Linked DNA regions of Stegostoma tigrinum. The protein of the gene in region 2 purifies or fractionates together with the protein of the main gene of each other region. This does not show direct contact. Links are inferred from orthologs where the notes say so. Each region holds a gene or a part of one and is shown on either strand. Other genes may lie near its edges.

The links.
Region 1: the proteins of histone deacetylase complex subunit SAP130-like (region 2) and suds3 purify together in Homo sapiens (affinity purification with western blotting; 3 studies listed by BioGRID, with this or other methods). This does not show direct contact. The link is inferred for Stegostoma tigrinum from reciprocal best matches to the Homo sapiens genes SAP130 and SUDS3.

Annotation. Positions count from the first base shown.
Region 1 is NC_081379.1:35,357,143-35,364,682, reverse strand, and holds the start of suds3 (sin3 histone deacetylase corepressor complex component SDS3), read right to left. Parts: upstream 3,074-7,540; 5' UTR 3,021-3,073; coding exon 2,909-3,020; intron 2,830-2,908; exon of another isoform or gene 2,811-2,829; intron 505-2,810; exon of another isoform or gene 490-504; coding exon of another isoform or gene 471-489; intron 1-470.
Region 2 is NC_081367.1:5,811,710-5,819,556, reverse strand, and holds the start of histone deacetylase complex subunit SAP130-like, read right to left. Parts: upstream 3,027-7,847; 5' UTR 2,845-3,026; coding exon 2,806-2,844; intron 1-2,805. UniProt on the Homo sapiens protein: Acts as a transcriptional repressor. May function in the assembly and/or enzymatic activity of the mSin3A corepressor complex or in mediating interactions between the complex and other regulatory complexes.

The DNA of each region.
Region 1 (7,540 bases), on a different chromosome or scaffold from region 2:
TTGCTTGAGGTCAATTATCTTGGTCCTAAGATATTACAACATGGGTTCTTCAGGGCATTGTCCCAGATTCAAATAACCCCAGCTATTTCATTAATGGCCATCCATCATAAAGCCAGAAGTGGGGGTATTTACTAATGACTGCATAATGTTCAGCAACGTTCACATCTTCTCATATACTGAAGCAGTGCATGTCCAAATGCCGCAAGATGTGGCTAACATCCAGACCAGGGCTGACAAATAATATTTATGCCACAAAAGTAGCAGGCAATAGCCACCTCCAAAAGAACCTCCCACCTCAAGTTCAGCGGGTAATACCGTTAACAACATCCTGGGGGTTACCACTGATCAGCCATTTAATATTGTCGCTACAAGAGCTCGTCAGAATTCGGCAACGAAAACTCACTTTCTGTTTCCCAATGTTGGTCTGCTGTCTTCAAGGCACAAGTCAAAAGAGAGTGATGAATACTCACCACTTGCCCGGAGAGACATTGCTCCAACAACACTTCAGATGCTCGACACCATCCAGGGCAAAACAGCCCGCTTGATCAGCACCCAAATCACCACCTTCAACATTCAGGCCTTTCACAACAGACACAAAATAGCAGCAGTGTGTACCATCTGCAAAATACATGCAGTAATTCATCAAGATTCCTCCAATAGCACTTTTCAAACCAGCATCTTCTAACATCTAAAATGGACAAAAGCAGCAGATGCATGTATACATCACCATCTGCAAGATCCTTTCCAACTTTTATACCATCCTGACTTCTAATATACTGTTGTTCCTTCAAAGTCCTTAGGTCAAAATCCTGGAACTCCCTAACAGTTTGGTGAGTGTTCAGACATCTCAAGGACCGCAGAAAATCAACAGGCAGCTCATTGCTGATCCCTAGTTGCCCTGGAGAAAGTCATGTCACTGATGCCACATTCTGCTAATGAGCAAAAAAACTCCCTTCTCAAATAATGAAGAGATTTTGCAATGTTCTAATCCTACGGCACAATTTTAGTATCAAGAGTCATCAAAATAACAAGTTCCTCTGGTGCAGCTGGTATTTTGAACTCTTCCTCTACTCTGAACATGAATGCCTTTAGTTTTATATAAACATCAGTCTCTTTGCCTTTCCTACTCTATGTCTGTCTTCCCACAATCTCATCTAATATACAAGTACAAAGCTGCTGCAAAACTGGAGTGCTTCCTTCATTATAAGAGCAGATCATATTCGCTTCTTCCCATTGTTTAGCTGGACATTAAAGGACACGAACATTTCTCAAAAAGAAAGGAAATCTTACACAACATTACCACTTGACAAACAACAACAAAATCAAACAAACACCATTCATACAATTAGTTTGTGAGATCATGTTGTCAGCACACTGGTCACATGTGCCAATGGAGCAGTTACTGCAATTTTGAAATCATTCCCTGTGTATGAAATGATTTTGAATATTTCCAAAAGACACTAGAAATGTGATCTGTGAATGCAAATCAGTGTCAAAGTGAAAGAAATTCAGCCAGGATTCCAAAACAATCTTGATTACTCGCAGTACATCCTGCTACACAATGCTAGAGTATATACATCAAGTGACTTGAGCCACATTATAATTCCCTCAATGTTGTGTCATGACATTACAAAGCATTGAAACAGACCCTCCAGTCCAACTTGTCCACAAATCTTTCCCCCTTCAGCTTAAACCGATGTACTCTAGTTTTGGATTTTCCCATCCTAGGAAATAAAGATCTTGGCTATTCAGCCTATCCATGCCCGTCTGGACTTCATAAACCTCTATAAAACCTCAACCTCCCATGCTCCAGGGTAAAAGGCCCCAGCCTATTCAGCCTCTCCCTGTAACTCATACCCTCCAGTCACGGCAACATCCTTGTAAATCTTTTCTGTGTGCTCTCAAAGTTTATCAACATCCCTCCTTCAGAAGGGTGAGCAGAATTGTACACAGTATTGAAAAAGTGACATCAACAATGTCCACAACATGATGTCAATGTTCTGAGCAATGAAGGAAGCACATGAAACACCTTCTTCACCTGCACAAGGTCATGGAGGATAACAAGTGCTGAATTGTAATTCTGTTCTAAATGTTGGTTGGGAGTGGGAAGAGGGATGGCAAAACTAAAAACACCCAGGGATTTTCACTATCTCAACAACAGTTTTTCATGGTGGCTCAGTGGTTAGCACTGCTGCCTCACAACACCAGGGACCCAGGTTCGAATCCACCCTTGGGCGACTGTCTGTGTGCAGTTTGCACATTCTCCCAGTGTCTGCGTGGGTTTCCTCCCACTGTACAAAGATGTGTATGCTAAATGGATTGACCAGGCTAAATTGCTCAGTGTTCAGGGATGCATAGATTAGGTGGGAATGCTTGGAGGTTCGGTGTGGACTGGTTAGGCTGAAGGGCCTGTTTCCACGCTGTCGAGATTCTATGAAAATGTCCCACATCCTTGAACTGACCAAACTCCTGAGCGAGGACTTATGGGGGAAAATGTTCTGCGAGTGGTGCTTGACAACATTTCATGAAAGGGTAAGGAGTGTGGCAACAGGAATTCTGAAAGTTTGCCTCTGGCTCTCTTTCCACCTTTTTTCTTTTTTTTAATCCTCGAAAGAAGACTGTAAACAAGTCAGAAACAAAAAAAATAGAGATTGCTGGAAAAACTCAGCAGGTCTGGCAGTATCTGTGGAGAGAAATCAGAGTTAACATTTCGGGTCCGGTTCCCTCGCTTAGAACTGTAAACAAGTCATCCATTTTATAAGCAGCGCCTACATGTTTGCTTGATACCGGCTCCAAGTTAGTAGCCTCACCTCTCCCGGTTCCAGCCTCTGTACATGAGGCCCACCGTCAGGCGGCGACAACCGCCCGCCTCTTATCACACATACACCCCGGTTCCATCTGCACTCACCTTCATCCGAATCGCGGCCCCGGATGCTGCGGTCGTCCTCGTCGTCCACGCTGTCCAGCTCCTCCTCATCGTTGTAATAATCAACGATGGGCGAGAGGAGAGTGGCGGACATCTTCCCCGCCAGGCCGCCCTCCCCTCCCCCAACAACCGCAGCCAAGGGCGCCCACCGCCTGCCTGCCGGGGCCTCGCACGACAAACTCGCCGGACACCGCAGACAAACACCAACAACGCTCTCGCAACAACACTGCCGCAGCCACTCACAGCCCGGTAATAAACGGGAGCCCCCGCCGCCCAAGGTGAGCACCGGCTGTCAGGCAGTGAGGCGAACACCTAAGCCGGGGTTTGGGGTGGGGGAAGGGGCCATAACCATGTTGGGTTGGAAGAAGTGCAGCCCGGACAGAGCTGTCAATCATGGCTGCTTCTGACCACCACTGTCAATTGTGGCTGCTGGCCAGTGCTGCACCTGATGCATTCATGCTTGCATAATCTGGATTATCTGCAAAATTTGTGACCATCTCCAATTGATGCAGCTAAATGTTGTGCCTGAAAATGATCAGCCCTAAATATTAATATTATATTGAACATCAACATCATAATCTGTTCAGATCGTTTTGCTTGACTTGATTGCTATGCAAGATAATTAGCCTTAGTCCATGAAGGACTACACTTTCTGTTCAGTAGCTGAAATGTATTAAATGTGGGCAGGGCATGGCAAGGAACCCGTCATCTATGAATAAGCACAACCAGTACAAAGGTTTAACCCGAAAGGTCAGCTTTTGTGCTCCTAAGATGCTGCTCGGCCTGCTGTGTTCATCCAGCCCCACACTTTGTTATCTTACAAAGGTTTAACTGCTCTGTTGACGTGCTATAAGACTTCTAAAGGAAACTGAACTAACTGTTTGCGATGTGACATTTTTAAAGATAAATAAAATTTCAGACATGTAGCGAGCATATTGGATGTTCTCACGAAAAATTTGTCAATCTTAACCATTGTTCCGAAACTTTGTTTATCTGTTCTCAGAGCTTGTGGTCTGCTGAGATAGTAGGAACTGCAGATGCTGGAGAATCTGAGATAATAAGGTGTAGAGTTGAATGAACACAGCAGGCCAAGCAGCATCAGAGGAGCAGGAAAGCTGACGTTTCCCGCCTAGACCCTTCTTCAGAAATGATGGAGGGGAAGGGGGTTCTGAAGTAAGTAGGGAGAGAGGGGAAGGTGGACAGAAGATGGATAGAGGAGAAGATAGGTGGAGAGGAGGCAGACTGGTCAGAGGTGGGGATGGAGATAGGAAAGGTGAGTGTAAGTGGGGAGGTAGGGAGGAGATAGGTCAGACCAGGAAGGACGGACTGGTCAAGGGGACGGGATGAGGTTAGCAGGTAGGAGATAGAGGTGGGGCTGGAGGTGGGAGGAGGGGATATGTAGGAGGAAAGACAGGGTTGGGGAGGCAGGGACGAGCTGGACTGGTTTTGGGATACGGTCAGGGGAGGGGAGATTTTGAAGCTTGTGAAGTCCACATTGATATAATTGAGCTGCAGGGTTCCCAAGTGGAATATGAGATGCTGTTCCTGCTCCTTCGGTAGCATTGCTGTGGCATTGCAGGGGGTCCAGGATGGACATGTCGACTGTGGAATGGAAGGGGGAGTTGAAATGGTTTGCGACTGGGAGGTGCAGTTGTTTAGAGTAAACTGAGCGTAGGTTTTCTGCAAAGCAGTTCCCCGAGCACTGACCGCTTCTATCTCCTTCCCAAAATCCACAAACCTGACAACCCTGGTCGGCTCATTGTCTCTGCCTGCTTCTGCTCCACCGCACTTATCTCCACCTATCTGGACTCCATTTTCTCTCCCTTGGTCCAGGAACTCCCTACCTACGTCCGTGACACCACCCACACCCTCCACCTCCTCCAGAACTTCCAATTCCCTGGTCCCCAACACATCTTTACCATGGATGTCCAGTCCCTATACAGCTGCATTCCCCATACAGATGGCCTAAAGGCCCTCCGCTTCTTCCTGTCCCACAGGCCCCACCAGTTCCCATACACAGACACCTTCATCTGCTTAGCCGAACTTGTCCTCACCCTCAACAACTTGTCTTTCAATTTCTCCCACTTCCTACAGACAAAAGGGTGGCCATGGGTACCCCACATGGGCCCAAGCTATGCCTGCCTCTTTGTAGGTTATGTAGATCCTCTTCCATACATACACTGGCCCTAAACCCCACGCCTTCCTCCATTACATTGATGACTGTATCGGCGCCGCCTCGTGCTCCCACGAGGAGCTGGAACAGTTTATCCGATTCACCAACACCTTCCACCCCAACCTTAAGTTTACCTGGACCATCTCTAATACCTCTCTCTCCTTCCTGGACCTCTCTGTCTCCATCTCTGGCAACTACCTAGAAACCTATATCCATTTCAAGCCCACCGACTCCCACAGCTACCTCGAATACATCTCATCCAACCCACCTTCCGGCAAAAATGCCATCCCCTATTCCCAATTCCTTCGTCTCCATCGCATTTGCTCCCAGGATGAGGCATTCCACTCCTGTACATCTCAGATGTCCTCATTTGTCAAGGACCACAACTTCCCCTACTTAGTGGTCAAGAACGCACTCGGCCATGTCTCCCGCATTTCCTGCAACTCATCCCTCACACCCCCTCCCTGCAATAACAACCAAAACAGAATCCCCCTCGTCCTCACGTACCACCCCACCAACTTCTGGATCCCACGCATCATCCTCCGACACTTCCACCATCTGCAATGCAACCCCACCACCCAGGACATTTTTCCCTCCCCACCCTTATCTGCTTTCCGGAGGGACCACTCTCTCCGTGACTCCCTTGTCCGCTCCACACTCCCTTCCAGCCCCACCACACCTGGCACTTTCCCCTGCAACCGTAAGAAGTGCTACACCTGCCCCTACATCTCACCCCCATACCAGGCCCCAAGAAGACTTTCCACTTCAAGCAGATGTCCACCTGTACATCTGCTAATATGGTATACTGCATCCACTGTTCCTGTTGTGGTCTCTTCTACATCAGGGAAACCAAGTGGAGGCTTGGGGACTGCTTTGCAGAACACCTACACTTGGTTCACACTAAACAGCTGCACCTCCCAGTCGCGAACCATTTCAATTTCCCCTCCCATTCCGCAGATGACATGCCCATCCTGGGCCTCCTGCAGTGCCACAATGATGCTACCCCAAGGTTGCAGGAACAGCAACTCATATTGCGTTTGGGAACCCTGCAGCCTAATAGTATCAATGTGGAATCTCCCCGCCCCTCACCGCATCCTTAAACCAGCCCAGCTCGTCCCCACCTCCCTAACCTGTCCTTTCTCCCACCTATCCCCTCATCCCACCTCAAGCCCCACCTCTATCTCCTACCTACTAACCTCATCTCGCCCCCTTGACCTGTCCGTGCTCCCTGGACTGACCTATTTCCTCCCTCCCCACCTACACTCACCTTTACTGGCTCCATCCCTGCCTCTTCGACTGGTCTGTCTCCTCTCCACCTATCTTCTCCTCTATCCATCTTCAATCTCCCCCTCCCTCCCTATTTATTTCAGAACCCCCTTTCCCTCCCCAATTTCTGAAGAAGGGTCTAGGCCCGAAACGTCAGCCTTCCTGCTCCTCTGATGCTGCTTTGCCTGCTGTGTTCATTCAGCTGTACACCTTGTTATCTCTTGTAGTCTGCTAACGGCTTTCTGAATTTTGTAAAGTTATTTTTCAAGTACTTAGTTTCAAATGAAACATTTTAGATAGTTTGGGGGTGAATTCCCTGTTTCCCAGTTTATCATGGTGTTTTATCTTTCACTTGGCTCAAGATAATTCATATATGACTTCTTCAAAGTCACAATGTAAAAAATGGCTCTAGTAGTTCCTACAGTACAAGAGTGACTACGATTCAAAAGCACTTTAGCTGTAAAACACTTTGGGAATCCTGCTGATTGTAAAAGTTGCACTATAATAAAAATTCTTTGTTTCAACTGTTGAATGACATTTAGTTCTGCCTTCAAGGAGCAATGTCCAACATTCTGCTCAAATATACATTAATTGCCTATGAAACTTCACAATATCTTTTAGCAAAGATTGATTCCATTATTGAATAAATTAGAGAATGCTTGAAAATCCTTGTTGGTCACTAAGTCTTGCTCCAAAAGCTTACCTATCATTGAAGGTCTTGTCTTCAATCATATGGCCATGAACAGTGCATATGCATTTATCCCTTTATGTTTCAGGCCTTCTGCAACAAGTGAGCACTGCAGCACATTTATTGTATAATCAAATGAAATAGTGAACAATCTATTACACTTGAATCCATTTGATTCCATCAAATTATTTTTCATGCAACCTCTTAAAGAGAGCTATTGTCTTATTATCTAATGATTGCATGCAGGAACCCAATGTTATCTTTATCAGTTTAACTACAATAATCAAACTGCTGGCTCCTGGCCTTGGGAATATGTAAAACTTTCAAAGTCAGCAAATTTGGGTCAAATAACTTTGATTTTTTTTTTAAATATACCTTGCCTTTACAGTTGAAAGTGTAGTTGACATTGCCAGACAGAAACATTGAGCAACAGTCTGCACATCCTGTTCACAAGACTAACTTCCTGTTGTCACAATCTGAGTAGAAT
Region 2 (7,847 bases):
CTCCCCGCCCCCGCCCCCCCCTCACTCCCCGCCCCCGCCCCCGCCCCCCCCTCACTCCCCGCCCCCGCCCCCCCCTCACTCCCCGCCCCCGCCCCCCCCTCACTCCCCGCCCCCGCCCCCGCCCCCCCCTCACTCCCCGCCCCCGCCCCCGCCCCCCCCTCACTCCCCGCCCCCCCTCACTCCCCGCCCCCGCCCCCCCCTCACTCCCCGCCCCCGCCCCCGCCCCCCTCACTCCCCGCCCCCGCCCCCGCCCCCCTCACTCACCGCCCCCACCCCCCCTCACTCCCCGCCCCCACCCCCGCCCCCCCTCACTCCCCGCCCCCACCTCACTCCCCGCCCCCACCCCCGCCCCCCCCTCACTCCCCGCCCCCACCTCACTCCCCGCCCCCACCCCCGCCCCCCTCACTCCCCGCCCCCGCCCCCGCCCCCCTCACTCACCGCCCCCACCCCCCCTCACTCCCCGCCCCCACCCCCGCCCCCCTCACTCCCCGCCCCCACCCCCGCCCCCCCCTCACTCCCCGCCCCCACCTCACTCCCCGCCCCCACCCCCGCCCCCCCTCACTCCCCGCCCCCACCTCACTCCCCGCCCCCACCCCCGCCCCCCCTCACTCCCCGCCCCCCCCTCACTCCCCGCCCCCACCCCCGCCCCCTCACTGCCCTCCACCTCACTGCCTGCCCCCGCCCCCCTCACTCCCCGCCCCCCCTCACTCCCCGCCCCCTCACTGCCCCTCACCTCACTGCCCGCCCCCTCACCCCCCCGCCCCCCTCACTCCCCGCCCCCCCTCACTCCCCGCCCCCGCCCCCCCGCTGCCCCCCACCTCACTCCCCGCCCCTGACCCCGCTCACTCCCCGCAGCCCCCCTCACTCCCCGCCCCCTCACTGCCCCCCACCTCACTCCCCGCCCCCCCCCCGCAGCCCCCCTCACTCCCCGCCCCTGACCCCCCTCACTCCCCGCAGCCCCTCTCACTCCCCACCCCCTCACTGCCCCCCACCTCTCTCCCCGCCCCCGCCCCACTCCCCTCCCCCGCCCCCCCTCCCCCTCACTCCCCCTCACTGCCCCCCACCTCTCTCCCCGCCCCCGCCCCACTCCCCTCCCCCGCCCCCCCTCCCCCTCACTCCCCCCCGCCCCCCCATCACTCCCCACCCCCTCACTGCCCCCCACCTCTCTCCCCGCCCCCGCCCCCGCCCCACTCCCCTCCCCCCTCACTGCCCCCCACCTCTCTCCCCGCCCCCCCGCCCCTCACTCCCCACCACCCCGCCCCTCACTCCCCCCCGCCCCCCACTCCCCACCCCCCCGCCCCTCACTCCCCCCCGCCCCCCCACTCCCCTCCCCCCCGCCCCCCACTCCCCTCCCCCCCGCCCCCCACTCCCCCCCGCCCCCCCATCACTCCCCGCCCCCCACTCCCCACCCCCCCGCCCCTCACTCCCCCCCGCCCCCCACTCCCCACCCCCCCGCCCCCCCACTCCCCACCCCCCCGCCCCCCCACTCCCCACCCCCCCGCCCCTCACTCCCCCCCGCCCCCCCATCACTCCCCGCCCCCCCGCCCCCCCCATCACTCCCCGCCCCCCCGCCCCCCCCATCACTCCCCGCCCCCCCGCCCCCCCCATCACTCCCCGCCCCCCCGCCCCCCCCATCACTCCCCGCCCCCCCTCCCCCCCATCACTCCCCGCCCCCCCTCCCCCCCATCACTCCCCGCCCCCCCTCCCCCCCATCACTCCCCGCCCCCCCTCCCCCCCATCACTCCCCGCCCCCCCGCCCCCCCTCCCCGCGCCACCATCACTCCCCGCCCCGCCCCCGCCCCCTAATTCCCCACCCCCCCCACCTCACTCCCCGCCCCACACTCGCCCCGCCCCCGCCCCCGCCCCAGCCCCACTCTCGCCCCGCCCCAGCCCCACACTCACCCCGCCCACCCCGGCCACTCTCGCCCCGCCCCAGCCCCACACTCGCCTCGCCCCGCCCCCCCGGCCACTCTCGCCCCGCCCCGCCCCCCCGGCCACTCTCGCCCCGCCCCAGCCCCACACTCGCCCCGGCCACCCTCGCCCCGCCCCCCCCGGCCACACTCGCCCCCCCCCGCCCCCCCCTCGGCCACACTCGCCCCGCCCCGCCCCCCCCCGGCCACACTCGCCCCGCCCCGCCCCCCCCCGGCCACACTCGCCCCGCCCCGCCCCCCCCCCGGCCACACTCGCCCCGCCCCGCCCCCCCCCCGGCCACACTCGCCCCGCCCCGCCCCCCCCCCCGGCCACACTCGCCCCGCCCCGCCCCCCCCCCCGGCCACACTCGCCCCGCCCCGCCCCCCCCCCGGCCACACTCGCCCCGCCCCGCCCCCCCCCGGCCACACTCGCCCCGCCCCCCCCGGCCACACTCGCCCCGCCCCCCCCCGGCCACACTCGCCCCGCCCCCCCCCCGGCCACACTCGCCCCGCCCCCCCCCGGCCACACTCGCCCCGCCCCCCCCGGCCACACTCGCCCCGCCCCCCCGGCCACACTCGCCCCGCCCCCCCGGCCACTCTCGCCCCGCCCCCCCGGCCACTCTCGCCCCGCCCCCCCCGGCCACTCTCGCCCCGCCCCCCCCGGCCACTCTCGCCCCGCCCCCCCGGCCACTCTCGCCCCGCCCCCCCGGCCACTCTCGCCCCGCCCCCCGCAGCCACTCTCGCCCCGCCTCTCACACCCCCCCATCACACGCCCACCCAATTCCACGCTTCATAAGACTCCACACATCATAAGACCCGCCACCCAACCTTTCCCTCCCTAATCCACCCCCACGTCCCCCTCTCCGTTCCCCACCGTCCACCCCCGTTCCCTTACCCCTACTCGGGCCTCACTTTGTCGTTCCTCCTCTGTCATTAACACAGTCGAGTCTCACTGCGCGGATGAGTGTATCTCTGCCTCCGCCCGGGGCCCGCGGTACCGGCCCGATCCTCACCTCTGGTTATTTTGCTGTCGGTGCTGGGGTTAGACCACGGCTCTGTCCGCCCTCGATCACTGAGCCATCCCCCTGCCTTCACTTCCCGAGGCTCCGCCGCCCCTCAACGGCCTTCCTAACAACTAGACCCCTGATTGGCCAGGCCTCGGGGCCTCCTGTATCTCTATTGGCAAACGCGAAGCGGGGCGCCGAACAACGCCTGCCTCGATTGGGTGGAATCGCCGGGAGCCGACCTTGGAACCCGGCCGCCATGGCAACCGGCGGCAGCGGGCTGCTCCCGCGGAGCCCTCTGGGAGTTGTAGTCCTTTCCGCCTCCTGAGCCAAGTTGGCGGGCGGAGGAAGGCGGCACCCTGTCCTGAGGAGGCGGCACCAATAGGATGGACCCGCTCTGTAGAGTCTGCCTGACGGGCTGTTCCCGGCGCTTGCCGATTTGTTTTCGATTCAAATGTCAGATTGCCAGCTTCTGCAAGTCCTCATTCTTCTGAGTAAAAGGCTGAAGAGAGCGAGCTGCCCCCTCCCCAATGGGGCCTACCTGAGTAGGCCCTCCCCTGCCATTGCTGGGAGCCTGGACAACGACTTTAAAATGGTCAGTGTGGAACCTGCCAGCCCCACTCGTTCACAGTTGGGTGACCCCTGTAGACTGTCCCCCAACCCCCAGAAGTTGTCTCTCGAAGCCAACCTTCAAACACATGAACTATTGACCAAACAGAAATGGCCGGCGATACCAAAGTAGGGCAATTGGACCCAAAGCGTTAACTCTGCTTCTCTCTCTCCAGAGATGCTGAGCAGACCCACCCAGTCTCTGCTTTTCTTTCTGATTTCCAGCACCTTTGTGTTTTTTTCAAATTTGATCACCAAGTGGATGTGAGTTTGCTCGCTGAGCTGGCAGGTTAGTTTTCAGACGTTTTGTCACTTTTTTTATTTGAAAAAATATACTTTATTCATAGAATGTACAAAAAAAAACATATTTATACACCTACCCAGTCATGCAAGCCGCTCCGGGTTACCCAGGGGATACGTACACCAACTAAAGGCGAAAAATAACAAAGCAAAGAAAATACCCTGGCAGTCATCACCCCGCACAGTCCCCGTTGGCCCCCTGACCAGTTGGGGAAGGCGCCAGCTGGGCCCAGTTACCAGATAGGGTTCTTTTTCCTTTTCTGGACGAGGGGTTTCATACCGTGGTCTTTCCCCACCGTGCCTTGGCGGTGGCTGCCCCAAGCTTTAGCGCGTCCCTCAGCACGTAGTCCTGGACCTTGGAGTGCGCCAGTCTGCAACACTTGGTCGGGGTCAGTTCTTTCAGCTGGCAGACCAGCAAGTTGCGGGCAGACCAAAGAGCGTCTTTTGCCGCATTGATGGTCCTCCAGGCGCAGTTGATGTTGGTCTCGGTGTGCATCCTGGGAAACAGCCCGTAGAGCACGGAGTCCCATGTCATGGGGCTGCTCAGGACGAACCTCGACAAATACCACTGCATCCCCCTCCAGACCTCCTGCGGATAGGCACACTCCAGAAGGAGGTGATTGACAGTCTCGTGTCCCCCCCCCCCGGCAGCCAACTCGAGGGCAGCGTGCGTTGGCGCAGAGATTCCGGGCATGCATTAAGGATCTCACTGGCAGAGCCCCTCTCACCGCCAGCCAAGCAATGTCCTTGTGCTTGTTTGAAATTTCTGGCGATGAGGCACTCTGCCAAACGACTTTGGCAGTCTGCGTGGGAAACCACACGACGGGATCCACCCTCTCCTCTTCCCGAAGGGTCTCGAGGATACGACGTGCTGACCACTGCCTTTTGGCCTTGTGGTCAAAGGTGTTGCCCTTCAAAAATTTCTCCACGAAGGACAGGTGGTACGGGACGGTCCAACTACTCGGAGCGTTCCGCAGCAACAAGGCCAGGCCCATCCTTCGCAACACCGGGGACAGGTAGAACCTCAGTAAGTAGTGACACTTGGTGTTTGCGTACTGAGGATCTACGCACAGTTTGATGCAGCCGCACACAAAGGTAGCCATCAGGGCAAGGGTGGCGTTCGGTACGCCCTTTCCCCCATTTTCCAGCTCTTTATACATGGTGTCCCTGTGGACCCGGTCCATCCTCAACCCCACCAAATGAAGTGGAAGATGGCCCGGGTGACCGCAGCGGCGCAGGTCCAGGGAATAGGCCAGGCCTGTGCCACATACAGCAGTACCAAAAGCCCCTCGCACCTGACAACCAGGTTCTTATCCGCGATGGAGAGGGACCGGAGCATCCACCTGCCCAGCTTCTGCTTCAGTTTGGTGATACGCTCCTCCCAAGTCTTAGTGCACGCCCCAGCTCCACCGAACCAAACACCCAGCACCTTCTAGTATGTCCTGACAGTGAAGGGGATGAAGGAGCGATCGTCCCAGTTCCTGAAGAACATGGCCTCGCTCTTACCCCTATTGACTTTGGCACCCGAGGCCAGTTCAAACTGGCCGCAGATGTCCAACAGCCTACTCACCGACCGACGATCGGTGCAGAAGACGGCGACAGCCCTGCCTGACTCCAGATCGACGGGAAAACTGTCCGACTCCCACCCGTTGATCGAGACTGTGCTAACGATGTTGGTGTAGAGCAGCCGGATCCAATTGCGGATGCCTTCCCCGAACCCCAATTTGGAGAGGACGTCCCTCATGTAAGCATGAGAGACCCTGTCGAAGGCCTTCTCCTGGTCCAGGCTGATGAGGCAGGTGTCCACCCGTCTGTCCTGCACGTAGGCGATCGTATCCCTGATGAGCGTGAGGCTCTCAGTGATCCTTTTGCCCGGCACAGCACAGGTTTGGTCAGGGTGAATCACCGACTGCAGGACAGACCTGATCTGGTTGGCTATGACCTTGGCTAGGATTTTGTAGTCCACGTTCAATCGTGAAATGGGACGCCAATTCTTAATTTCTTCCCTCTCCCCCTTCCTCTTGTAAATGTGGGTGATGATGCCCTTCCTCATGGACTTGCATATTTCCCCTGCCCGAAGCGCACTGTCAGACACCCCCAGCAGGTCCTGGCCAACCAGGTCCCACAGAGCGGAATACAGCTCGACCGGTAAGCCGTCGCTCCCGGGAGTCTTATTCCTCTCCAAGGACTTGAGGGCAGCTCGTCCCGGGATATCGGCCGGTCCAGCCACTCCCTTGTGCCGTTGTCTAAGACCTCTGTGTTAGACGACAGGAACAACTAGGAGGCCGTGCTGTCCGTGGGCTTCGCATCGTACAGTCCGGCATAGAAGGATCTGCTGATCCTCGAAATGTCAGGCTGAGACGACGTCACCGAGCCGTCGTCCTCCTTCAGCCGGCTAAGCACAGAGCTCTCTTTGTGCACCTTCTGAAAGAAGAAACGCGAGCACGTCTCGTCCTGCTCCGCGGAGCGGACCCTGGACCAGAAGATTATCCTGGAGGCCTCTGCGACGAAGAGCGAGGCTTGCTGGCCCCTCACCTCGAGGTCCTTCGTGACATCGACCCCCATCAACTGCAGAAGGAGCAGGTTCTGCACCCTTTTCTGGAGTCGCGACAGTTTTCCCCGCCTCACTCTCGCCTTCCGAACACCCTTGAGAACAAAGAACCTCTTGATGTTCTCCTTCACTGTCTCCCACCAGTCGCCCAGAGACTCAAAGAGGGGTTTCACAGTTCTCCAACCAGCGTACTCCCTCATGAGCTCCTCGACATTCTCTGGGGTCAACAGAGTCGTGTTGAGCTTCCACGTCCCCTTGCCAGCCTGCTGGTCGTCTTGTAAGTGACAGTCAGCCAGCAGGAGGCAGTGGTCAGAAGAACACCGGCTCGACGCCAGTGGACCTGACCGAGAACGCCCGTGACACAAACAGGAAGTCTATCCTTGAGCAGATAGACCCGTCTGGCCGCGACCAAGTGTATCTCTGCTGCCCTCCGTCTGCAGGGGTGCTGAAGACGTCGAGCAGCTTGGCGCCCTTCACCGTGCCCATCAGGAATCTGGACGTGACGTCCAGTTGACTTGGTGTCCCCACGCCGGATCTTCCATCTGCATGATGCAGTTGAAGTCTCCGCCTAGGATGACCGGTCTGGATGTAGCCAGCAGGGGTGGAAGCCGCTGCAGGACGGCCAACCGCTCACTCCGTACCGCTGGGGCGTACACGTTGATCAGCCTCAGGGGAGCGTTCATGTGGGTGACATCAACCACTAGGAGGCGCCCCCACACCACCACCTGAACTTGAGAGATGGTGAAGTTGCGCCCCCGCAGCAGAATATCCAGGCCCGAGGAGCGACAGTTGTTACCACCTGATCAGATCGAAGGCCCACAGGTCCAGACGCTCAACCATTTCCCGTACCTGCTGAGGTGCGGTATCCTGCACTCCTGCAGAAACAGGAGGTCCACCTTCACGGTGGTCAGGTAGGCCAACGTAGACACACATCTCGCGGTTGACTTGACGCTGCGCACATTACTCTCACAATTTGTACCCCCATTGTGGGCAGTGACCGCAGTACCCTCCCCAAGCCCAAGGTCTAGCCCCTCCATCTGTCCCTTCATGCCCATTGCCCGGGCTAACTGCTGGATGCTCTCCGGGCTCAGGAAGCCGTCCATGCAGCCTTTCGGGTGGCATCCCCCCGTCGGGGGTACGGAGGCAGGAGAGTCCGGTTTTGGGTCCGGCTGGGGACACGTTTCCTGCTTCCCGCCTGAAGGTTCCGGGGGGCCCTCCAGGGCCCCAGCGGCGTGTGGCTGGGTGTTGGAGGGAGCCTCAGGATGCCTCCCGTCACCTGGAAGCGGGGTGCTGCTTTCCTTCTCCCTCGAGATCTTTAGCTTCTGCTTTGGGCAGGCCTCGTCTGAACCTCCCTCATCAGAGGAGCTCTTATAGCCCCCCTGTAGCTGCCTCTACCCGCTTGATGGTTGCGGTGCCTGGGCCCGCCGGCGCACCTTCCTCCTCGCTTTCCAGACCGTCGTCCACTCCCCTGGG